Macaca fascicularis: one gene and its partners. The protein of the gene in region 4 interacts with the protein of the main gene of each other region in a biochemical or structural test. Links are inferred from orthologs where the notes say so. Each region holds a gene or a part of one and is shown on either strand. Other genes may lie near its edges.

Region 1 (6,160 bases), on a different chromosome or scaffold from region 4:
GACCTTCTCGGAGAAGTGCACCTGGGGGCAGACACCGGGACACAGGCAGGAGAGGGACACAGCCACGGGAATCCGGATGGGGAAGAGAGAGAGAGAAGCAAACAAAAATTAGTTATTACACAAAAATGCTTTCTATCTGGCTAGTCACTTGCCTGTCACTGTCATGGGATTCTCCATCTGACTCACTGAAGGCAGAGACGGTTTCCTGGGGTTGCTGTGAGCCACAGCTGCTCCCTCCTCCCCCAGGGGCCTGGCCTCTTACAAGAGATTGCGTGACAGTGTACACAGCCCTCCCCATAGAAATGACACGCAATCCTCTGCAATATACAGGGACCTGGAGTCTCAGCCTCCAGCCCCTTCCTCTCCCAGACTCAAGAATCTGGGCTCTCGGCCAGACGTGGTAGCTCATGCCTGTAATCCCAGCACTTGGGGAGGCTGAGATGGGCAGATCACGTGAGGTCAGGAGTTCAAGACCAGCCTGGCCAACATGGTGAAACCCCCATCTCTACTAAAAATACAAAAAAATTAGCTGGGTGTGGTGTCGTGTGCCTGTTATCCCAGATACTCCAGAGGCTGAGGCACGAGAATTGCTTGAACTTGGGCTGCAGAGGTTGGCAGTGAGCCAAGATCGCGCCACTGCACTCCAGCCTAGGTGACAGTGCAAGACTCAATTTAAAAAAAAAAAAAAAGGCCGGGCACGGCGGCTCATGCCTGTAATCCCAGCATTTTGGGAGGCCGAGGTGGGAGGATCATGAGGTCAGGAGATCGAGACCATCTTGGCTAACACGGTGAAACCCCTTCTCTACTAAAAATACAAAAATTAGCCGGGCGAGGTGGCGGGCGCCTGTAGTCCCAGCTACTCGGGAGGCTGAGGCATGAGAATGGCGTAAACCCGGGAGGCGGAGCTTGCAGTGAGCCGTGATGGCGCCACTGCACTCCAGCCTGGGCGACACAGCGAGACTCCGTCTCAAAAAAAAAGAATCTGGGCTCTCAGCACCCACCTTTCTGGCCTTTAGGGGAATCTCGGGGTCCAGATCACGGGTAGGGGTTTCTGGGCGCTTGAGCCGCCTCTGCAGTCGGAGGGGCAGTCTAGGAGGAGCCCAGGGAGGTGGTGGCTTCTCTCCAGGTACATAGATGGCCACTCGGAAGGGGCAGGGCTCAGCTTCTCCCCAGTCCTCAGCAGCTTCCTCTTCCTCTGTCTCCTTTCCAGGTCGGTATACCCAGCCCCTGAAGTGGGCACTCTGGGCCGGGTGGGAGGGATGTGGGTCTGACTCAGCTTCTCCCATGGCTGCTTCTGAATCATCTTCCTTACCCTCACTATCCGCATCCTCATCTTCCTCCTCCTCCGTGTCCTCTCCTGGCCGATACACCCAGGACTTCAAGAAAGCACTTGGAGGGGGTGTGGAAGTGGAAATTTCAGCTTCTCTTTCATCCTCAGCTGATCCTGTATCACTGTCCTCATCTTCCTCCTCCTCCGTGTCCTCTCCTGGCCGATACACCCAGGCCTTCAAGAAAGCACTTGCAGGGGGTGTGGAAGTGGAAATCTCAGCTTCTCTTTCATCCTCAGCTGATCCTGTATCACTGTCCTCATCTTCCTCCTCCTCCGTGTCCTCTCCTGGTCGATACACCCAGGACTTCAAGACACCTGTAGCAGGAGTGGAAGAGGAAGCCTCAGCTTCTCCCTCTTCCTCATCTGATCCAGAGTCACTGTCCTCATCTTCCTCATCTTCCTCTTCCTCCGTGTCCTCTCCAGGCCAATACACCCAGGCCTTCAGGAAGGCACTTGAGGGGGGGATGCAGGGAGGACACTCAGCTTCTCCATCCTTCTCAGCTGCCCCCAAAATCTTGACCTCACCCTCCTCTTCATCACTGGGTTGGCACCACCAGGACTTGAGCTGGGGCCTTTGGGCTGGGGCTGAGGAGTGTGGCCCTGGGGCAGCTTCTCCTTTCCCAGCTTCTTCGTGTGCCTTTTCTTCCTTCTCCTCGGACGCCTCTCCTGAACGACACTCCCAGGCCCTGGGGTTGGAGCCTGAAGATGGGGGGGACACGGAGGTCTTCCTGGCTCCTTTACTTTTTTCTATTCTTCTTTCGTCCTCCGTGGCTTGATTCTCTTCCTCCCCTGGGCAAGACACCCAAGTGCTGGGCTTGGATCCTGGAGACAAGGCAGAAGTAGAGGTTCTGCGAGTTTCTTTCTTTACAGCTTCTTCATCGACCTCTTCCTCCACTGCTGGACAACACTCCCGGTGTGACAGAGGATAAGAGAACTTGTTAACTCCCTCCTCTTCAGCAACTCCCTCTTCCTCAGCTTTCTCCTCCCCTGGGTTCTTATCAGAACCTTGCAGCGTCCTTATCAGAAGGCTGGGAGACAGGGGAGCAGGCTGGCCATCTGCAAATTGACTTCCCTGCCCTCTAGGGACGCTGGTTGCTTCTTGCTCACTATATATGTCATCATAATCATCCAAAAGTCCCCAGGCTTCAGGAAGGGAACTGCTGGTTTTCAGGCCCAGTGTTTCTCTGTTCTCTCCAGGGCCTGCACGGTCTTCAGCCTCCTCATCAAGGCATCTGCCGCAAGGGATATGGGGGGTTGCCAGAGGAGTCCTGGCTTTTCCCTCCAGGCCAGCTTCTACCAGAGCTACTCCTTTTACTGCCTCCACCAGCCAGGGCTCTGGAGGTCCCAGGCCCCTCAGGCGGCTCCAGGCCCGGCTGAGGAGGCCCATCACTGGGGACAGGAGGAAGAAAGGGTGGGCATCCCTCCATGGGGTAGCCTGATGGGGTGCTTGGCCTGGGGCCATGTGTCTGGGCTGGAAAAGGGGGAGGAAAAAAATAAAGTTTAGGGGCCATTTAGGGGATGGCATCCGGGCATGACTATGAGTCATAGCAACAGAAATAGTAACACAACTATTGTCAACAGCAACGCAAGAGTCCCAAATTCCTTTCTGATCTCAGCCACGCCCATCTCTGCCTCTTGGCTCTGTTCTCTCTCATCTCTCAATAGCCAGGAGTCTGAGCCCCTAGTTCTTCCTTAGATCCAAGGGTCCAAGCCCCCAGCCCCCTCTTTCTTCAGACGCAGAAGTCCCAGTCCCAAGAACCAAGAACAAAAGTCTTTTGCTTGCTTCCCTTGGCGACAAAGTCATAGTCCCTCCCTAGCTCTGTCATCCTGCTGAAGATCAAACCCTCACACCCTCCTCCCTTGCAGACTCAAACATTCTGACCCGACCCCCGACTTGCTAGATGATTCCTTCACGGGGACCCAAGAATCTGGCTTCCAGATCCCTCCTCCCTCAGGCTCCGGACTCCAGGGTCCCAATCTCTTCTTCCTAAATCCAGGTCTCCAGCCCCGTGGGGACCCAGGCGTTCCGACCCCTTACTCACCGGTGGGGGGCTGCGCGTCACCCCGGGGGCAGGAGCGCCGGCTCGGTCTGCCAGAAGCGATCACAGGTCCTGACGATTAGGAAGGCCAGCGCGTTCATCTCACCCTCAGGCGTCGGGCTCCAGGGGACTCAGAGTATCTCCGGCTGCCTCAAGCGCAGTGGCGACAAGCGGGCGCGGGGTCCTGCGGCGTCTTGCATACGACCAACAACTTGGACAGGAACCAACACGATGAGCGCAAGCGTAGGCCACGACGCGTTTATATTCTACAGCGCCTGGCGTGCTGACGTCACGGGGAGAGGCGGGGTTTCGAGACCACAACCCGAAGGGTGGGAAGTGAAAGACTGGACTTCTCGCGGAGATTCCAGCCTTTGTAACGTCTCGGCGGAGTTTCCGAGCGTGACCACGCCCCCCCAACCAGCAAACTGTCAATCAAATGCGTGGTCCTGCTTCAGCAGCGAGCCGGTTCTCTCTTAGCTGAGGGCCAATGCCTTCCCACCCAAATTTATTTATTTGTGTATTTATGTATTTATTTACTTATTTATTTATTTAGGTTCGTTAGTTATTTTGAGGCGAGTTTTGCTCTTGTTGCTCAGGCTGGAATGCAATGACGCTATCTCGGCTCACCGCAACCTCCGCCTCCGGGGTTCAATCTCCTGCCTCAGCATCCCGAGTAGCTGGGATTACAGGCAGGTGCCACCACGCACGGCTAATTTTGTATTTTTTGAGCAGAGATGTAGCTTCTCCATGTTGGTCAGGCTGGTCTGGAACTCCTGACCTCAGGGGATCTGCCTGCCTTGGCCTCCCAAAGTGCTGGGATTACAGGCGTGAGTCACCGCCTCCGACCTATTTATTTATTTATTTATTATTTATTTATTATTTATTTATGTATTTTTCTGAGACGGGATTTCACCATGTTTGCCAGGCTGGTCTCAAACTCCTTACCTCAGGTGTTCTGCCTGCCTCGGCCTCCCAAAGTGCTGGGATTACAGGCGTGAGTTACCGCCCCAGGCCTATGTATTTATTTATTTTATTATTATTATTATTTTGAGACGGAGTCTCGCTCTGTCACCCAGGCTGGAGTGCAGTGGCCCGATCTTGGCTCACTACAAGCTCTGCCTCCCGGGTTCATGGCATTCTCCTGCCTCAGCCTCCCGAGTAGCTGGGACTACAGGCCCCTGCTACCATGCCTGGCTAACTTTTTGTATTTTTAGTAGAAGCAGGTTTTCACCGTGTTAGCCAGGATGGTCTCAATCTCCTGACCTTGTGATCTGCCCGCCTCGGCCTCCCAAAGTGCTGGGATTACAGGCGTGAGCCACCTCGCCCGGCCTGTTATTTATTTATTTTTTTGAGACAGAGTCTCGCTCTGTCACTGAGGCTGGAATGCAATGGTGCGATCGGCTCACTGCAGCCTCCATCTCCTGGGTTCAAGCAATTCTCTTGCCTCAGCCTCTGAGTAGCTGGGATTACAGGCATGCACTACCACACCTGGCTAATTTTTTGTATACAGACAGGGTTTCGCCATGTTGCCCAGGCTGGTCTTGAACTCCTGAGCTCAGGCAATCTACCCACCTTGGCCTCCCAAAGTGTTGGGATTATAGGCGTGAGCCACTGCACCCGACCTATTTATTTATTTTTTGAGACAGAGTCTCACTTTGTTGCCCAGGCTGGAGTTCAGTGGCGCCATCTTGGCTCACTGCAGCCTCCACCTCCCGGGTTCCAGTGATTCTCCTGCCTCAGCCTCTGGAATAGCTGGGATTACAGGAGTGTGCCGCAATGCCCAGGTAATTTTTGTATTTTTAGTAGAGACAGTGTTTTGCCACGTTGACCAGGCTGGTCTTGAGCTCCTGACCTCAGGTGATCTGCCCGCCTTGGCTTCCCAAAGTGCTGGAATTACAAGCATGATCCACTGTACCTGGTCTCCTACCCCAATTTAGCCCAAAGGCCCAGCCTACAGCCCCCCATTTTCTTTTTCTTTCTTTCTTTCTTTCTTTCTTTCTTTCTTTCTTTCTTTCTTTCTTTCTTTCTTTCTTTCTTCTTTCTTTCTTTCTTTCTCTCTCTCTCTCTCTCTTTCTTTCTTTCCTTTCTTTCTTTCTTTCTTTCCTTTCTTTTCTTTCTTTCTTTCTTTCTTTCTTTCTTTCTTTCTTTCTTTCTTTCTTTCTTTCTTTCTTTCTTTTTCTTTCTTTCTTTCTGTCTCTCTCTCTCTCTCTTTCTTTCCCCCCTCCTTCCCTCCTTCCTTCCTTCCTTTCTCTCTTTCTCTCTCTCTTTCTTTCTCTCTCTCTCTGTCTCTCTCTCCCTCTTTCTTTTTTTCGAGACGGTGTCTGGCTCTGTCACCCAGGCTGGAGTGCAATGGTGTGATCTTGGCTCATTGCAACCTCCACCTCCCAGGTTCAAGCAATTCTCCTGCCTCAGCCTCCTGAGTAGTTGGGAGTACAAGAGCTCGCCACCACGCACAGCTAGAGTCTCCTATTTTCACACGCAGTTGGTTTCCTCCCTGAGTGCGAGGGTGTCATTGTTCCCATTTCACAAATGGGGAAACAGGCTTGAAAATGAAACCACTTGACTAAGATAGTCACAGCAGAGTCCAGATTCCTTGCAAATGAGAATGAAGATGTAAGCACTATGAGATCAGGCACTTTGCTAGGCTCAGTGCTTTTAAAAAAATAATAATTAATTTAGGCCAGGTGCGGTGGCTCACGCCTGTAGTCCCAGCACTTTGGGAAGCTGAGGCGGGCAGATCACGAGGTTGAGATTGAGATCATCCTGGCCAGCATGGTGAAACCCTGTCTCT
Region 2 (6,119 bases), on a different chromosome or scaffold from region 4:
GGAATGCATACATATTGCATTAATGGAATATAACAGGAATACATATGTAAGTTAAGTATTTTTGTTGGGTTTAAACTGACATAAATCAACAACAACGCTCCTTTTCTACAACTGGATCCTGAAAGAAAAGCTAAGTTAGCGGATATATGCTGAAAAACAATCTTATTTCAGAAGACAATTAAAAAGTCTAGTACAAGGCCCAGCGCAGTGGCTCACGTCTGTAATCCCAGCACTTTGGGAGGCTGAGGCGGGCGGATCATGAGGTCAAGAGATCAAGATCATCCTGGCCAACATGGTGAAACCTCATCTCTACCAAAAATACAAAAAATTAGCTGGGCGTGGTGGCATGTGCCTGTAGTCCCAGCTACTCAGGAGGCTGAGGCAGGAGAATCGCTTGAACCCGGGAGGCAGAGATTGCAGTGAGCCAAGATCGCACCACTGCACTCCAGCCTGGCAACAGAGTGAGACTCCATCTAAAGAAAAAAGAAAAAAAAAATCTAGTACATAAAAGGTAGTCCTGCTTTTTGGAAATGAATTGATTCTGGTGGAAGAATAAAGAGGAAGGATATCTAGGTTCTCGGAACCAAGATGTGTGGTGGGGAGGGGATGCTGAAGACAGGTGAGTCTCCAAATCAATGCAATGAAGTCACTGAGTTGCCCATTTTCATAAAAGCTGAAGGTCAACAATCTACAGGGCAGAACAAACTTGAGTCCTAACGCTAGTTTTAAAGCTACCAAGGCTGTTATTAAGTCTGTGTTGACCTCTGTCACCACTCTTCAGTCCCACTTTAGGGAGTGGCAGCTGGGCAAGCCTTTCTATCTCACCGTGCCCCACCAAGAACCTCCAGAGAGGTGAGTACACAAGACTGGAGGGAAACCTCAATTCAAAGGACGGAGTTAAGCTCTCATAACTCTGATAAGAAACTGATTTAATAAAGAGAGCTGAGAAACTGTCCTCAGGTCGTAAGAATATATCCTGACCTTACTGGGAAATAGCAAGGTGGGTAGAAATTAGGATCCCTAATTTCCCTAAGGACATTCCTGAGCAACACAGATTTAGACATGACCTGCACAGTTAAGAGCTGGTTGTGGCGCTCGCTTGGGGAGCACATATGTTACGCTAAAATTGCAACGATACAACATTAGCATAGCCCCTTAATTATTTAAATAATTTTCAAAAAGCTGGTTATGCATAACTGAGGGTGGACGGGGGTCAATTCTATCACTTAATTATTTTACTGAGATGGCATTTTGGAAGAAGGATGACACCTAACCCTGGGGCTTAGTCCTCGGCTCGGGATTAGAAAACGCGCGGTGTATGGGAGGGGGTTGCTGGAAGTACTGCCTAGACAGCTAAGATATAAACACGTGGGAAGGTCTCCACTCGTGGATTCCTGACAGCGGAGCGACGACCTAGAGAAGGTATAACCAACTTGGGGTTGTGCAAAATGTCCTTCGAGAAGTTACCTGAACTCTGTGGGCACCTCGGAAGAGAGAAAGCATAGGAAGCCGCCTCAGCAGGGTGTTTAATACGGACGCCGCCATCTTGACGTACGCCCAGCACAGGAATGGAAGGAAAGGCAACTGCGCATGCTTCAGGAAACTGACTAGGGCAGGGCCAAGGACAAGCCCGCAGTGCGGAAGGCGGCCGCACGTTTGCGTCAGGACGGAAGCGTGAAAGGGAAGGCATGGGCGGAGAAGCTAATTTCAACTGCGTCACAATCGAATTAGACCTCAAAATTGCATTTTTTCTTGGCTAGTCACTACGACTCTTAGATCTCTTTGTTAGAGTTTGCCTTTTAAGCAATTTTGAAGGCGATTTTTATCGAGATCCTCTCAGTGCGCATGCTCCGGCACGTTTCTACCAACCCTGGGTGAGAAATGTTCTCCAGGGCGGAAGTGGCGGAAGCAGAGGAAAGGGAGGTGCTGGGCTCTCTGGTCACGCGCACGCAACAGGGAGGCAGAAAGGAGGCGGAAGAGAGTGCCGGGGAAGGGGCGGAGCAAAGGTGAAGTGAGACTAGCCAATCAGCTGGCGAATTGTCGTTTAGGTTGACCAATGAGTTCACGCCTCGCGTATAATGTCTCGCGACAAGGGCGTTTCACCAGCACGTTTGGGCGCGTTGGGCGGCGTCCGGGTATAAAAGACTCCACCCGAGCGGGCGGCCGCCATTCTGGGGTTCGTTTAGAGGTAAGTTTACCTACCTTGTTGTTTAGTGGGTAAAATTTTGCGGAGAGCGTTGGATCTGGGAAGCGGGGTAGGGGTGGGTTCATTTGAGAGCCACGGCTTAAAGCGGCTGCGATCAGGATGGGACACAGAGGTTTGTTTGGGGACAGCAAAGATGGCATTTCTGGGTGTTTTGAAGCAACCCGTACTGATTACATCTTTCTCCCTTGTGTTCCTTTTATCCCAGGTTTGAATTTTCTCGGAGAAAGACAGGCCGACCACGAGGAAAACAGAAACAAGCCGCAGCAACATCTAAGCCCTTGAAAGGATCCTGAGAGAGGGGGGAAAGGGAAAACAGCAGCCACCAGCCCAACCACTTGTGTCTTCTGCCCCTTCCCACCTATCTTGCCCACCCCACCAGCCCACGCTGCTTGGGACTTGAAATCTGTGGCCGAAGGACCGTCACCACATAACTTGAAAAATAATCAACCACCCTCCCTTCCCAAACCACCCAAATTCACTCATCCAGCGTTTACTTTTTTGAATCCACTCAGAACTTTTTTCTGCGACCCCCCTCCCTAAATGGAGTTGGGTGGGGGGGGAAATGAATACTGAGTTGGCCTTTATTTTTTAAAAGACTTTTTGATCCAATGAGGCCCCCTAAATAATTGAGTTTTGGGTCCTGGTTGGTTGTTTTATTTTTTTTCCTCCAAAATTTTACCCCCTCCCCCCTGAGCCCGAGGTGCTGACGTCGCAAAAAAATTGGATAGTAAGTGTCGAATTTTCAAAAACCAGCCTTGCAACAAGAAGTCAACGTTTCCCGTTGTGAAACCAAAAATAATGAGAGGAAGAAATGAGACCATAGAACAAATAGAGAACTGGAGAAGGACCAATCTGGTCACTTAATCTCCATTAAAAAGGGCCTGTGGGTCTAAACAGTCTTGTTCTCTCTCCCCTACCACCTATCTCTTCCCTGCCCTGCTGCAGGCAAAGAGAGGGTGGAGGGAGGGCCAGCAAGTGAGGATTTTGATGGTTAACCCTTGGTAATCCAGCCAATTTCCAGACTGCCAAAGCCATACGTGTTTATATAAGGAGGAATGGTTACCTTCCTCTGGTTAGCAGCAGTCTTCGAAAGGGTTAATGAGCTCACATACAAGAGATGGTGGATCTTGTGGCCCAGAAGTACCACTTCTTTGTGTGTGAGACAAGCAGGGTGCCTTTCAATTTGCCAGATTAATAAGCAATCTGTACATAAAGATTGCAGGGTAAGGAGATGGGCAGAGAGAAATAATAGCTCGCTATAACTTTTTAAATGACTGTTAAATCCTCTCAATTTTAATGTAATTTGTTTGGGGTATATTTGTGTGGTTAAAATAGGTGGCAATCTAGGAATAAAGATTGCAAGACACTTAGGACAAAATATAATCTTAGTGCCAGTACATACAATAGTTGGGGAGGTAAAGAATGTCTTATAATTGTTGCAGATTGCATAGGTATTTAAAAGCAAAAGAGTGATTAACATTTTAACTTGATATTTTTTGGTGGGGGAGGTACAGTTAAATAGAGGGTGGAAAGGTTGGGTAATGTGGAATTTAGGAGTATAATTTTAAAAGCCATTTAGTGCAATTGAATGCTAGCTTTCTAAAAGATTTGTGTCGTTAAAAGGAATTTTTTTCTTCCCTGCTTCAATATGGCGACTTTCCTTGTCCTTTTGTCTTCCAAGCGGCGTTGCAGGTTGTGTCTTGACCCATTTTTTTTCCTGTCCTCCCACCTCAACCCTATTTGTTGAGAGGGGTCCAAGTCCTTCCTCCCCCTTTCCCTCTATAGGGAGGATGGGGGTGGTCGATGGTAGCCGGTTGAACCTCCGTTGCAAATTCAGTTCTTCCCTGCAGAAAATTGTTCTAATATTTTGATTGCTTTAATTTTCACTACGCTCTTACTGATCAAAATAGGTCAAAGATTATTCACGATGGGGAACTGGCTTTTGGCTTTTTTACTAAAAAGGTGTTTTTATAATGTAACTGAAGCTACCGGCAGAGCTGGGTGGCTTTTTATAGTTCGAGTCCTCTTTCTCCATTACAAAATGGCGTCCCTCCGTCTTTGTTGTTTTTCTTCCCCTTTTGCCATCCTGAGCTTAGGGCCGCCCTAGAAACTTGGTCAAGGGGGAGGAGCAGCCTTGAAAGGTGATGTAATCAGCTTTCTTCCTCTTTTCTCCACCCTCTTGAAGCTCCACCCCTGAGCAGATGCCTTTGCACTCCCTGTGCTCGTGGCTGCTAGGGAGAAGACATTTTCCTAATTTTCATTATATAAAATACCTTAAAGGGATGAGAGCTTATAGGAATTAAGTATTAAGGCTGTCCATCTCCTTGGGTAGTTCTAGTTTTTATAGAACCAGTTTTTATTTTCACTTTCACTCATCACAACTGCTTGTAATTTTTCCCCACTTCAGCTGCCAGGGGTGAAAAAACAGGCAAACCCAAGACTGGGAGCTTTGAGGATGTGTGTGAGCGTGTGTGTATGTATATATGTGTGTAGAGGGAGATGGGAAAGACACAAGGGCTTGCGAGAGTCCCTTCGAGATAAACGGGCCTGATGACACTGAAATGTGCCATTTCTGCTCAGGAACCAGTCTTTGGGCCTCCTGCATTTGGTCGCTTTGTGTAATGAGAATCGGGGGAAGGTGGATACTTCTAGGACTTTCTTCTAAATCGCCCTCATTCCCACCTCTCAGTTTGGGGATAAACTGTATTCAGTGCTGTATCACGTTCTGCACTTAGTTCCTGTACATTGGTACTAGGATAAGAAGTGAATCTTTAGGAAAGGAGGCGGCAGTTGTAAACTCAAGGCAGGGGGAATCAAGCTACGGTTTCTGGTAAGCAAAACCTTTCTGGTATTACATTTCACAACTTTCATTTTTTTTTTCCCAAAGAGCCACCTTTTTTGAATTTCTTTTTCCTTCCCTTCTAAAAGAAATTCCTTGAAAGCATTAATGAAAAAATGATGTCCTCTTCATTTTTCAACTCATGCAGTGCTGTGGCAGTTGGTGCATGTTCAGAAGCCATGCCCTATCTGAGGGTGGTATTGGGTGTCTGGTTCCTTCCCCCAACTTTTTCAAAGCCAAATCTTTATCAGACTCTCCATATAATTTTAATTTTTAAAAGTCCTGCACTGAAGCGTGGAGGTTCTAGGCAGAATTGGAAAGCACAACTGCCCTGTGGTGATGTGGGTGAGACTTAGGGCTAATTTTCTACTGGGTACAGATTCTCAAATTATTACTTAAACTTCTGGATTGGATGGGAGGGACTCTTCCACATGTCTATTGACCACAAGTTTTTTTTGTTTTGTTTTGTTGTTTTTTTTCTTTTAAGCAGTTTGCCATGTGCCTCTGCAGCATATCTTCTTTGGGAGCTGAACATTCTACCCACTGGGGTTCCTGATATCTAGTGAGCCAGGGGATTAATAATGAAGATCTTCCTTAACATGGGAGATGGGAAGCAAGGTCTACTAGGGGAACCACATCCATTCAGAGAATCTTGGAAAAGCTGATCCTTGTAGTTTGTGGCCAGAGTTCCAGTCTGGGGTCTTTTTCTATGAGTTGGGGTGGTGTATCATTTTGCATCTTTATTGAAAGGCAGATAAGCTTTTGAGGAGCTCATGTATCAGGTTTGCAAAATGACTTTGAGGGGTAGGGGCTTACTACTTGGAAGCAAGCTATGACCTTGTGATGAATCACCTGAGAGACATAATTCAGTCCACTATTGAGTCAAACTAGGAAATGCCTAAAACACTGAAGAAAGGAAGGGGAACATGAGTTAGGTACAAATCATTTTCATTTCCAGAAGTGCCTCTAAATTAAGGTAAATTTGGGAGTTTTTTCTCTTTTTGTTAGAAGACAGTTATTTTTAAAGAACTCTGACTTGCACAGAATTTTTATCCTGAACCAATTCAGTCCTGT
Region 3 (6,013 bases), on a different chromosome or scaffold from region 4:
AACCCCTGCTACCTGTGAATGTGACCTTATTTGAAAACAGGGTCTTTTCAGAAGTAATTAAGATGTAAGTTACGATGAGGTCACGTGGGAGTAGGGTGGGCCCTTAATCCAAAATGATCTGTCTTTCTTAAAAGAGAAGACACAAGGGACAGATACCCTGGGCCTTCAGGGAGAGGATAAGACCTTGATTTCAGACTTCTAGCCTCTAAAACTGTGAAAGAATCAACTTCTATTAGTTTTAAGCCACCTGGTTTGCGGTACTTTGTTACAGCAGCCCTAGGAAACTAATACAAGTAGTAAGACAGAAGAGTAAGATTTAAGTAATGGTGGAGGCAAGCTAACAGGGTGAACGTGTCCTATGTTGAGTAATTGTGATGCATTTACCAGATGTTTCATTCTACAAGAATGAAGTCACCCTTATAATCAAGGTCACATATTTCAATGACAATCAGACAAGGAATTAGCCAGTTTATCCATACAAAACGAACAATCCTTACTTACATCAAACCAATGTCCTAGATTTTCTGATACCACACTCCAAGTAACAGAGCTCATCATAAGTGACTATTTCTACAAATAAATCAAATAGAAGGAGTATTCAAATAGTGACTTTTGGTGAAATACTGCTATAATCAATGTGTCTCTGCCTTGGGTTTCTGTCATAATGATTCTGTGGAATGTCCTTCGTGGTCAAGGACCCCCTTTTGTTATACACTCATACCAGCATTCTACCTATTTGTACATGTCTGCCTTCTCCACTAAAATATAAATTCCATGAAAATAGGAATCATATCTGATCTTCTCTCCACTGTATCTCCAGCCTCTAAAACAATGTCTGTAACCTCACAGATAAAATACACACATACTGGAAAAACTAGGACACAGGTTTGCTTTCAATAAGGACATGTATGAATATAAACTTGCTTATAAGTTGGAATATACATAATGATAATCAAATATAAAACACGGCCGAGGACGGTGGCACATGCCTATAATCCCAGAACTTTGAGAGGCTGAGGCAGGTGGATCACCCGAGGTCAGGAGTTTGTGACCAGCCTAACAGGTGAAACCCCATCTCTACTTAAAAAAAAAACAAGCATGGTGGCGAATGCCTGTAATCCAAGCTACTTTGGAGGCTGCAACAAGAACGCTCGTACCTGGGAGGTGGAGGTTGCAGTGAGCCAAGATTACACCACTGTACTCCAGCCTGGGCAACAAGAACAAAACTCCATCTCAAAAAAAAAAAAAAAAGTCTAAGAAAAACTAAAATTATTAGGTGTTGACTCCCAGTTAAACATGTAGATTGACCTTCTAAGGTGATAGTAAAGAATACAAAGGAACAAACCATAAGGTTAAAGAGATGAGAGAAGAGATTATAGGACACCAGCGATTTCCACATTTTTACAAGGAAAATGAAGTGGCCTAACAGGTTTGAGGAAATGAAAAACTTTGATTTGAGGATACCAAAGGAAAGCGGGCCACACAGATTTCCAATCCTGTCAGACAGGGTATTCAGGTCCCTTCTGCTGTCCTGCTTCCAACATTCTGGTAGCTAGATGGTACCTTTCAGGCAGGAGACTGGAAAAGTCTTCTCAGAAAACACTAAAAACTAACAGATCTCCAGATTCTGAAACATGTGCTTTACTCTCCATCAATGAAAAAGCAGACTTGTCCCTAGATTACCCTAAAGTGAAGCCCATGAACCCCGCAGTCCTGCTTAGACACTAGGAGCTTCCAGCTAATTTCTCAGTTACACATTTTTTTTTTTTTGAGACGGAGTCTCACTTTGTTGCCCAGGCTGGAGTGCGGTGGCTCAATCACGGCTCACTGTAACCTCTGCATCCTGGGTTCAAGCGATTCTTCTGTCTCAGCCTCCTGAGTACCATCACACTTGGCTAATTTTTTTCTATTTTTGGTAGAGGAGGTTTCACCACGTTGGCCAGACTGGTCTTGAACTCCTGACCTCAAGTGATCTGCCCGCCTCAGCCTCCCAAAGTGCTGTGATTACAGGCATGAACCGCTTCCCCTGGCCAGCTTACAACTTTTCTTCTGCAGCTTCCTCATCTCTCCCAGTCCTCACAGAACTGAAGAGAATTAGGGTCTTGCTCAAAATTAGGTTTTGGTTTAAGAAAACATTGTGGCTAGTTTGATCTTCTATCCAGACTACTAAAAGTTTCTCCATATCAGCAATAAGGCTGTTTAGCTTTCTTATCCCTGGTGTGTTCCCTGGAGTAGCACTTTTAATTTGCTTCAACAACTTTTTCTTTATATTCACAACTCGGCTGTTCGGTACAAGAGGCCTAGCTTTCACGTTATTTCAGCTTTTGATGTGCCTCCTTCACTAAGCTTAGTCATTTCGAGCTTTTGATATAAAGTGAGACATGAAACCCTTCCTTTCACTTGAACACTTAGGGTTCACTGTGGGGCTATTAATTGGCCTAATTTCAATATTGTTGCCTCTCAGGCTACAAGGAGGACCGAGAGGGAGGAGATAAACAGGGAACTGGCAGGTAGGTGGGGCAGTCAGACACAACACTTAAGTTTACTGTTTTATACCAGTGAGGTTCATGGCGACCTAAAACAATTGCAATAATAACATCAAAGATCACTGATCACAGATCACTGTAACGGTATACCTGAAATAAAGTTTGAAATATAGCGATAGTTACCAAAGTGTCAGTGATAGGAAGTGGGCACATGCTGCTGAAAAACTAGTTGTTCGGCGCAGGACTACTTGCTACAAACTTTCAATTTGTAAAAAACACAATACCTATTAAGTTCAATAAAGCAAGGTATGGCTGTACTCAAGTCCCTAGCATCATTCATTCAACAAATATTTACAACACATCTACACAGCACTTAGGAAACCTGAACAGCCTCCCATAAAATAAAAACATGCACCCACCTCCCACGCGGGGAAGGCTTCAAGGTTTGTTTACTGCGTTACCCCCTGCGGGCTCGGTGGGGGAAGGTCGCCCATACACCAGCCCTTCCGCTCTCCTGGGCCACTTAGCCGGGAGAAGGAAACCCCTCATTTGGATCCGCGTACGCTAAGAAGCATTGCGTAGACTCGAGCACCGGCCAGGAGCGCACTAGACGCCTGGGAGGATGCGGTGCCCCCGGGGCGCAGGACAAGAAGCCGAGGAGACGCGGTGGGAGAGGATAGCGGGAGAGGATGGCAGGCTCCAGGCCCCGTCCTGCGCCCTCTTGTCGCACTTCCTCCATTCCCGCACCACAGACCCGCAGGTAGGCAACATCACCTGCACTTTTAGGGGAGGAAGCAGAGGCTCGCACAGATTTCACCGGACTCGGAGGGACCCGACTGAGCTCCCTGCCGGAGAGGCCGAGCCCATAAGAGGGTGGGGACGTTAGGATCGGGCCTCGTACCTGGGGAAGCCGAGCCATCGGGCCTGACGCTGGGAGAAAACCCGGCGGGAGAGGGCGGTCCGGGACCTGCTTCGTAACTCCCGCGCGGCCCACGCCAGCCTCAGCGCTTCGCGCGCCTCTAGACGCCAGTCTCGCGCCGCGCCCGCCCTTGTCTCCACGGCGACGCGGCGCGCACGAGGACCACCCCATTCAGACCCCGGGGCTTGCGCAGCCTCAGTCGGGCGGGTGGCGCACGACCGGTCGCTTTTGCAGCAGCCGCAATGAGAGTCGGTTCCGAGGGGCGTGGGGAATGCACCGTCTGGGCATCCCCACTGACAGTCTTTGGCTCGCTAGCTTAGCTCTGAGCTCAGGTTGTACATGTCTGCCTTCTCCTCTTAGACGAGAGAAGTGGGAGGCATTCCGAGGCGGAACCCCGAGTTAACACCGCCCGGGGTCGAGCACTAAGGATGAGGTTCCAGCTGGGAGGTGGCTGCGAACGAAAGTCTTCTTTCCCTCACTTCCGGGCTCGTGCGTGAGCCTCTCTGGCTTTTGGTTCACGGGGAGTGGAAACCGGAACCCGTGGAGTATGACCCGCCCATGCGTGTACCCGGCAGATTGCTACAACTTGCACTTGGAGGGGAGAAGTCCCATGGCCCCCGAATTAGAAATCCCAGGCTTATCTCTTTTTTTAACCCTTCATTTGAAAATGTAATTAATAAGCACTCCTTTTTGTTAAATTTTTTAATTTGGGCCGATCCTAATAAAAACAGGAGTGGGAGGGGTAAGTGGGACTTTTGAAATACTTTTTTACTGTGCTTTGTAAAACGTTTGAAAGCACGTGAGATTCCTGGTGCAGACACTAAAAGCAGTAGTTACTTAAATACTTGAAAGATTTTACGCTAAAAACATGAGGAAAATTAACTTGTTGGGTGTCTCGGGGTTAGAATCACAGATAATTTGTATTTTTGTCCTATTTTCTACATGCTAATTTTTGCAATTAAAACATTTATTATTTATTTATCTATTTATTTTGAGAAGGAGACACCCTCTGTCGTCCAGGCTGCAGTGCAGTGGCATGATCTGGGCTTACTTCCACCTTCACCTCCCGGGTTCAAGCGTTTCTCCTGCCTCAGCCTCCCAGGCGCACGCCACCACGCCCGGCTAATTTTTTTTTTTTTTTTTTTTTTTAGAGAGACGGGTTTCACCATGTTGGCCAGGTGAGTCTCGAACTCCTGACCTCAAGTGATCCCCCCGCTTCAGCCTCCCAAAGTGCTGGGATTACAGGCGTGAGCTACCGCACCTGGCCCTGAGGCGGATCACTTGAGGTCAGGAGTTCGAGACCAGCTTGGCCAATATGGTGAAACCCCGTCTCTACTAAAAATAAATTTTAAAAAAAAAATTAGCCGGCCGTGGTAGTCCCAGCTACTGGGGAGGCTTAGACAGGAGAATCGCTTGAACTCAGGAGGCAGAGGTTGCAGTGGGCTGCGATCGTGCCATTGTACTCCAGCCTGGGCAACAAGAGCAAAACTCTGTCTCAAAAACAAACGGCCGGGCGCGGTGGCTCAAGCCTGTAATCCCAGCACTTTGGGAGGCCGAGACGGGCGAATCACGAGGTCAGGAGATCGAGACCATCCTGGTTAATACGGTGAAACCCCGTCTCTACTGAAAAGTACAAAAAACTAGCCGGGCGAGGTGGCGGGCGCCTGTAGTCCCAGCTACTTGGGAGGCTGAGGCAGGAGAATGGCGTGAACCCGGGAGGCGGAGCTTGCAGTGAGCTGAGATCTGGCCACTGCACTCCGGCCTGGGCGACAGAGCGAGACTCCGTCTCAAAAAATAAAAACAAAAAAACAAAAACAAGGCCGGGCGCGGTGGCTCAAGCCTGTAATCCCAGCACTTTGGGAGGCCGAGACGGGCGGATCACGAGGTCAGGAGATCGAGACCATCCTGGCTAACACGGTGAAACCCCGTCTCTACTAAAAAAAATACAAAAAACTAGCCGGGCGCGGTGGCGGGCGCCTGTAGTCCCAGCTACTCGGGAGGCTGAGGCAGGAGAATGGCGTGAACCCGGGAGGCGGAGCTTGCAGTGAGCTGAGATCCGGCCACTGCACTCCAGCCTGGGCGGCAGAGCGAGACTCCCTCTCAAAAAAAAAACAAACAAACAAACAAACAAAAAAAACAAACATATTTTAAAAGGAGTTCTACTTTCTCGGACATCAATGCCAGTGTCTTAGGGACAACTTTCATCTGAAGTTAATGTGGCCAAGTAGTTTTAAAATAAGTTAGTAAGCTTCAAGGTTGTAATTAACAGTATAACTAGGCCGGGCGCGGTGGCTCAAGCCTGTAATCCCAGCACTTTGGGAGGCCGAGACGGGTGGATCACAAGGTCAGGAGATCGAGACCATCCTGGCTAACACGATGAAACCCCGTCTCTACTAAAAAAAATACAAAAAACTAGCCGGGCGAGGTGGTGGGCGCCTGTAGTCCCGGCTGAGGCAGGAGAATGGCGTAAAAACCCGGGAGGCGGAGCTTGCAGTGAGCTGAGATCCGGCCACTGCACTCCACCCTGGGCGACATAGCGAGACTCCGTCTCAAAAAAAAAAAAAAAAAAACAGTATAACTAACCTATTCGCTGTAATTTAGCCTAAGT
Region 4 (6,021 bases):
CTTGCCGGAGCTGAGCTGTTTCACTGCCTCTCGCAGGCCCCAGCTGGCTGTCACTGTAAAGCTGTCCCGCAGCAGTCAGGCCTGGGCCCTGTTATCTCCCCACAACCCCCAGCCAATCATGACTTTCCAGACCTGGCCCTGAACTACTGACGTTCCTACCTCTTATTTCCCATTGAGTCTCAGGCTATACTCCAGCTGGCCAAGGCTGGAAACCTGTCTCCCTCAGGCTCACCTTCCTAAGGAAAACATCACAGCAGGTGCTGCCGGCCCCTGATGATCCAGCTTCTCTGCCAATCATGACCTGACCTGTTCCTTCCTGAAGTCCTGGGCATGCATCTGGGACGCCCGTGGAGCTGACAGTTTTTCTTGCTTTCCTGATACTCTTTGGTGCCGACCTGGAATTCTAAGAGCCTCGGACCTGCGTGTGTGGCTAGGGTTGCCCTTGCTGGGGCCTGGTGCCCAGCCTCCCAAGTAGCTCTGCGCAGAGGAGCTGCCAGGCAGCGTCTTAGACGCGAGACGGAGGCCATGGCGAGAATCCAGCTTTGACCTTTATTCAAGAGACCAGATGGGTTGCCCCAGGATCCGGCTGCCAGCCCTGAGGCCAAGCACGGCTGGAGACCCACGACCTGGTCTGCCGTTGCCCTGAGCTGCAGCCTCAGCCCCAGGATCCTGCTCACAGCCACCGCTGATGCAGGCAGGAAGCAGCCCTGGGGGATTGGACGCTGCTATTGATTCATTAAAAAAAAAAAAAAAGAAAAATACACCAAGGCTCCATGTTCCCCGTGACAGGTGGGCCTGAGGGGCCGGGGTGACCCCCCCCCAGCATGGCAGCATGATTTCTGTACAATCCATCCATCATCTGGGGCACAGGCGCGGGGTGCAGGGGCTATTTCTTGGCTTTGGCGGAATTGCGGGGTGGGGTGATGGGCCGGCCCCCAGGGTTCAGGCCACTGAACTGCCCGTACTTCCCCTTGTTCTTGTCGGCGGGCTTGAGGATCTAAAAGAGACAGGGTTGGTCAGGCTCATGGGGCTGAGCCACGGGGCCTAGTAGCTCCTTTCTTCCCCACACTCACCTGGAAGGAGCACATGAGGGTCTCGTCCACGCTCATCATGGCGCCAGCATTGTCAAACTCGCCACAGTAGTTGGGAGCTGAGAAAAGTGTCACCAGCTGCCGCTTGGCAAAGAACTCATAGCCATCTTCTACCACCTGGGTGAGGATCGGAGCAGTCAGTCCCAAGTGCAGGCAAGGCCCTCCCCTTCCCCCACCACAGACGGGAGCCACCAGCCCACCTGGTGTGCTCGGCAGATGAGGTCCAAGTCGTGCTTGTGGAGGAACTTGGCCACCACCTCGGCTCCAAAAGTAAAAGAGACGCCACGGTCGTTCTCGCCCCAGCCCTGCACGTCCTTGTCAGGGTCAGACCAGAGCAGGTCACACAGCAGGCCCTGGTCAGGCACGTCTGTGGGCCGCATGATCCGCCGAATCTGCTCCATGGACTGCAGGTCCGGGGAGAGGCCTGGAGGGCCAGAAGGAAGGTCACTTCCTCAAACAAGGACATCCTTCCTCCAGGAAGCCTTGGCCAGTGAGCCTCACTTTTCCACCACCCTCCTGGTCCCTCCACTGGTCTCCTGGGTGCCCAGGCAGGCAGAAGCCATCCCCTTCCCCTCAGCTTTTTCAAGTTCCCAAACAGGCACAAAGGCGCCCCTGGCCTCCGGAGCACAGAGCTCCTGGGAGAAAGGAGACAAGCCCGCCCCATGTAGAATGCACATCAAGGAAGTGAGTGCAGCCCAGCACAGGGGGGTATGGGAGACACTTCCTGAAAGGAGTGACTTCCCAGATGACAACTAAGGAGAGCTCACCTCCGTGGCAGCAAAAGATCTTTTCGTCCACTATGGCCGCAATGGGCAGGCAGTTGAAGCAGTCAGTGAACGTTTTCCACAGTTTGATGTTGTAGCGTCTCTTGCCTGCCCAGAGGGAGGTAGCTGTGAGGGGTCTGCCTGCTCCACCCTTAGCCGGGGTCTCTGGGCTATTCAGCCGCAGATGGGAGAGAGTCAGGCACCAATGCAAACCACCCCCACCCCTGCCGCCTGTCAGCCTTCCAGGAGTAATTCTAGTTACTTTTTATTTTAATTTGTAATTTAAACAAACAGGATCTGGGCAGGGCATGGTGGCTCACACCTGTAATCCCAGCACTTTGGGAGGCTGAAGCAGGCAGATCACCTGAGGTCAGAAGTTCAAGACCAGCCTGACCAACATGGAGAAACCCTGTCTCTACTAAAATACAAAAAAATTAGCCAGGCGTGGTGTCGCATGCCTGTAATCCCAGCTACTCGGGAGGCTGAGGCAGGAGAATCGCTTGAACCCGGGAGATGGAGGTTGTGGTGAACTGAGATCACACCACTGCACTCCAGCCTGGGCAACAAGAGCGAAACTCCGTCTCAAAAAAGTAAAGAAACAGGGTCTTGTTCAGTCACCCAGGCTGGAGTGCATTGGCAAGATCATAGCTCACTGTAACTTGGAGCTTCTGAGTCCAAGTGATCTTCCCGCCTCAGCCTCCCACCAGAAGTAATTCTAAAGCACCCGAGTCCACTGGAAACTGAGTTCCAATCTGGACCAGCCTCAGGGTTGGCACTCCTTGCACGCCCCGGCCCACGAGCCGGGCCAAGTACAGGTCTGGTTTATCTCAGCTTCTGGACAGCAGAGCTCATCTGCAAACATCCTAAATGCTTAGTAGCAAATGTAGAGGGAACGTCACCAGGCAGGGCCCTGGGGGAAAGCACTAGAATACGGACAGTCCTTCAGTCAGCAACCATTCCCCAGACCCCATGCCAGGAGGGGCAGGGCAGGCACAAGAACGGACCTGGGCCCTGCCTTCGTGGAGTGCACAGTCTTAGCAAGTGTCTGTCAGATATCAGGCCAATGTGAAGGTCCCACTGAATGACAAGGAGTGTGGTTCAGGACCCGGGCAGCCCCAGACGCTCAGACCACTCACACTCATCGTAGAAACCGTAGATGCGGTTGATGCTGGCGCACTCGTGGTTCCCACGGAGCAGGAAGAAGTTCTCGGGGTACTTGATCTTATAGGCCAGCAGCAGGCAGATGGTCTCCAAGGACTGCTTGCCCCTGTCCACATAGTCCCCCAGAAAGAGGTAGTTGCTCTCCGGAGGGAAACCGCCATACTCAAATAGTCGCAGAAGGTCATAGTACTGGCCGTGTATATCACCTGTGACCCAGGGAATCGGGTAAGCTAGATGCAGGGTCTAGACCTGAACCCAGGACCAGGACTGGGCTCAAGGGAGGAGGACTCCAGGAACTCTGTGGGGGCCAGTGCCACTTTCAGGAAAGCAAGGGGACCTGGGTCGGGGGGCTCACCGCAGATCTTGAGGGGTGCCTCCAGCTCCAGAAGAATGGGCTGGCTCAGGAAAATCTCCCGGGATTTCAGGCACAGGCCGCGGATCTCGTTCTCTGTCAGCTGTACATTCTTGCCAGGCCGCGAGCCCTGCACTGGGGGCGCAATGGGGTGTCAAGACCCGGGACCCTGACAGGAGGAGGGTGGGCGACACGGGTGGCCCCATGGATACCTCCGGGGGCGCCTAGGCCTCCTCGGCTGCTCCTTGCCCGCAGGCAGCTGTTGCTGCTGAGCCTCCCGGGACCTCGGCCTCAAGCCTCCCAAGGGAAGCCCCCAACTACCCTCAGCGCCTCGGGAGGCGACTGTCGTGCGCAGGGGGCTGCCACCCAAACACCTCACAGCGCAGGACCCCTTCCTGGACCGGGCTTCCCGGGTTTCTCCCTCGCCTCAAGAACCCAGGCAACCCGTGCGCCCCCGGCCCGGGAGAGGGGGCTGCTCCGCGCGTCGGAGCGGGCCCAGGACCTCTCAGGCGCGTCCGCGGGGGGGCGGCTGCGGCCACCGAACCTCGCGGCCCGTCCCCGCCCAGTCTAAGCTGGCCCCGGGGGCCCGCCCGCGCGCCACTTCCGGGCCCGGCAGGGGGCCCGGGAGCGGCGGACGCAGGCCTCCCCCGCCGCGACCAACCTTCTAGCAGGCGCCCGATGATCGAGTCAAGGTTGAGCTTCTCGCTATCGGACATGGCGGCGCCGCCGCTCCAGCCCAGCAGCTCCGGGCCCGCTCCTGCCTCCCGCCCTCCGGCAGCCTCCTTCCGGCCTGGCTCTCCTTCCGCCCGCCCCAGTCCGCCCCCGGCCCGCGGCCCCGCCTCCGGGCCTCCCGGGCCCGCCCCGCCCGGTCCCCCGCGCTCTAGCGCCCCCGCTGGACGTGAAGCGCCGCGGCCCGGGGGGCGGGGCCTTGGCGGCGGGCTGGGGGCGGGGTCTGTCGGGGGCGCGTCCAACTGGTTACGCCCCAGAGGAGGCGCCCAGCCCGGTTCAGAGGATGTGGGGCCGGAAGAACTGTGGAAGTTGTTTTTCTCTTTCAAAAGCAGAACAGCCGTTCCCACCCCTGCCCTGGGTGGAGGGTGTTGTGAACATATTAATAACCGGCTGCTAGGCACTGAGGGTTAACTGCTCGAAGTGCAGGAAAGGAAACTGAGGCTCAAGAGATATGAACAGACTGGTGCAAGACCTGGACCTCGCATTCACGTACGACCCCCTTTTTCGTGGGTCTCCGTGGCCCCCAGGCGGCTGACCACACTCAAAGACAGCTACGGCTGAACTTCCAGCGCACTTTGGTCCTTGGGGCATGATAAATTAATATTTTCTTACAAGTCCCATAATTAGCTTTTATTTATTTATTTTTTTTGAGACAGAGTTTTGCTTTGTCGCCTAAGCTGGAGTGCAGTGGCGCGACTTTGGCTCACTGCAACATTCGCTTCCCAGGTTCAAGGGGTTCTCCTGCCTCAGCCTCTGGAGTAGCTGGGATTGCAGGCGCGCGCCACTGCGCCTGGTTTTTGTGTGTTTAGCAGAGGTGGGGTTTCGCCATATTGGCCCGGCTGGTCTTGAACTCCTAACCTCAAGTGATCCACTGGCCTCGACCTCCCAAAGTCCTGGGGGGGTTACAGGCGTGAGCCAACAAGCCTGGCCCCATAATTAGCTTTTGAGTAGCACAGTAATATTGCAGGGTGTGCACGTAAAAAGAATTACTATATGAGCAGACATGGCTGGGTGCAGTGGCTCACGCCTGTAATTCCAGCGCTTTGGGAGGCTGAGGTGGGAGGATCGTTTGAGGTCAGGAGTTCAAGACCAGCCTGGCCAACATGGTGAAACCCCATCTCTCTAAAAATACAAAAAGTTAGCTGGGCATGATGGCAGCCGCCTGTAATCTCAGCTATTGGGGAGGCTGAGGCAGGAGAATCACTTGAACCTGGGAGGCGGAGGTTGCAGTGGGCCAAGGCCCATTGCACCCCCTAGCCGAGGTGACAGTGTGAGACTCTGTCTCAAAGGAGCAGACGATAAATTAACCTTAATTCTTGTTGGAACCCTGAGTTGGGTGCTTTACATGCCAGTAACCTCAGAACTGGAGGTGGGCCTGCTGTGGCGGCTTAGGCCTGTAATTCCAGCACTTTGGGAGGCTGAGGTGGGATGGTCTCTTGCGTCCAGCCTGGGCAACACGGCGAAACCTCATCTCAACAAAAAAATACAAAAATTAGCTGGGCATGGTGGTGCACGCCTGCAGTCCCAGCTACTAGGGAGGCTGAGGCAGGAGGATCTCTTGAGACCAGGAGGTGGGGGTTGCAGTGAGCCCAGATCCTGCCATTACACTCCAGCCTGGGTGACAGAGCATGACCCTCAAGAAACAAACACAAAGGCCAGGCGCGGTGGTTCATGCCTGTAATCCCAGCACTTTGGGAGGCAGAGGTGGGTAGATCACCTGAGGTCAGGAGTTTGAGACCAGCCTGGCCAATGTGGCAAAACCCTGTCTCTACTAAAAATACAAAAATTAGCCGGGCATGGTAGTGCATGTCTGTAGTTCCAGCTACTTGGAAGACTGAGGCAGGAGAATCACTTGAATCTGGGAGGTGGAGGTTGCAGTGAGCTGAGACCGTGCCACTGCACTCTAGCCTGGGCAACAGAGCAA

Evidence for each region. The genes of interacting proteins can lie anywhere in the genome.
Region 1: the proteins of PPP1CA (region 4) and PPP1R15A are reported together in a solved structure, tested with the Homo sapiens proteins (2 studies listed by BioGRID and IntAct, with this or other methods). The link is inferred for Macaca fascicularis from reciprocal best matches to the Homo sapiens genes PPP1CA and PPP1R15A.
Region 2: the proteins of PPP1CA (region 4) and PPP1R10 form a complex in vitro, tested with the Homo sapiens proteins (2 studies listed by BioGRID). The link is inferred for Macaca fascicularis from reciprocal best matches to the Homo sapiens genes PPP1CA and PPP1R10.
Region 3: the proteins of PPP1CA (region 4) and SFI1 form a complex in vitro, tested with the Homo sapiens proteins (2 studies listed by BioGRID and IntAct). The link is inferred for Macaca fascicularis from reciprocal best matches to the Homo sapiens genes PPP1CA and SFI1.

What each region holds. Positions count from the first base shown.
Region 1 is NC_088393.1:56,856,378-56,862,537, reverse strand, and holds the start of PPP1R15A (protein phosphatase 1 regulatory subunit 15A), read right to left. Parts: upstream 3,607-6,160; 5' UTR 3,373-3,606; intron 2,802-3,372; 5' UTR 2,793-2,801; coding exon 1,002-2,792; intron 22-1,001; coding exon 1-21. UniProt on the Homo sapiens protein: Recruits the serine/threonine-protein phosphatase PPP1CA to prevents excessive phosphorylation of the translation initiation factor eIF-2A/EIF2S1, thereby reversing the shut-off of protein synthesis initiated by stress-inducible kinases and facilitating recovery of cells from stress.
Region 2 is NC_088378.1:142,039,738-142,045,856, forward strand, and holds the start of PPP1R10 (serine/threonine-protein phosphatase 1 regulatory subunit 10), read left to right. Parts: upstream 1-2,513; 5' UTR 2,514-2,933; exon of another isoform or gene 2,934-5,036; intron 5,037-6,119. Other genes in the region: MRPS18B (small ribosomal subunit protein mS40), read right to left, coding at 1,468-1,545.
Region 3 is NC_088384.1:20,124,512-20,130,524, forward strand, and holds the start of SFI1 (protein SFI1 homolog), read right to left. Parts: upstream 3,607-6,013; 5' UTR 3,388-3,606; intron 3,247-3,387; coding exon of another isoform or gene 3,109-3,246; exon of another isoform or gene 2,953-3,108; intron 1-2,952. Other genes in the region: EIF4ENIF1 (eukaryotic translation initiation factor 4E transporter), read left to right, coding at 3,109-3,246. UniProt on the Homo sapiens protein: Plays a role in the dynamic structure of centrosome-associated contractile fibers via its interaction with CETN2.
Region 4 is NC_088388.1:6,974,039-6,980,059, reverse strand, and holds PPP1CA (serine/threonine-protein phosphatase PP1-alpha catalytic subunit), read right to left. Parts: upstream 4,161-6,021; 5' UTR 4,085-4,160; coding exon 4,030-4,084; intron 3,504-4,029; coding exon 3,372-3,503; intron 3,223-3,371; coding exon 2,992-3,222; intron 1,964-2,991; coding exon 1,859-1,963; intron 1,516-1,858; coding exon 1,292-1,515; intron 1,209-1,291; coding exon 1,074-1,208; intron 998-1,073; coding exon 887-997; 3' UTR 531-886; downstream 1-530. UniProt on the Homo sapiens protein: Protein phosphatase that associates with over 200 regulatory proteins to form highly specific holoenzymes which dephosphorylate hundreds of biological targets.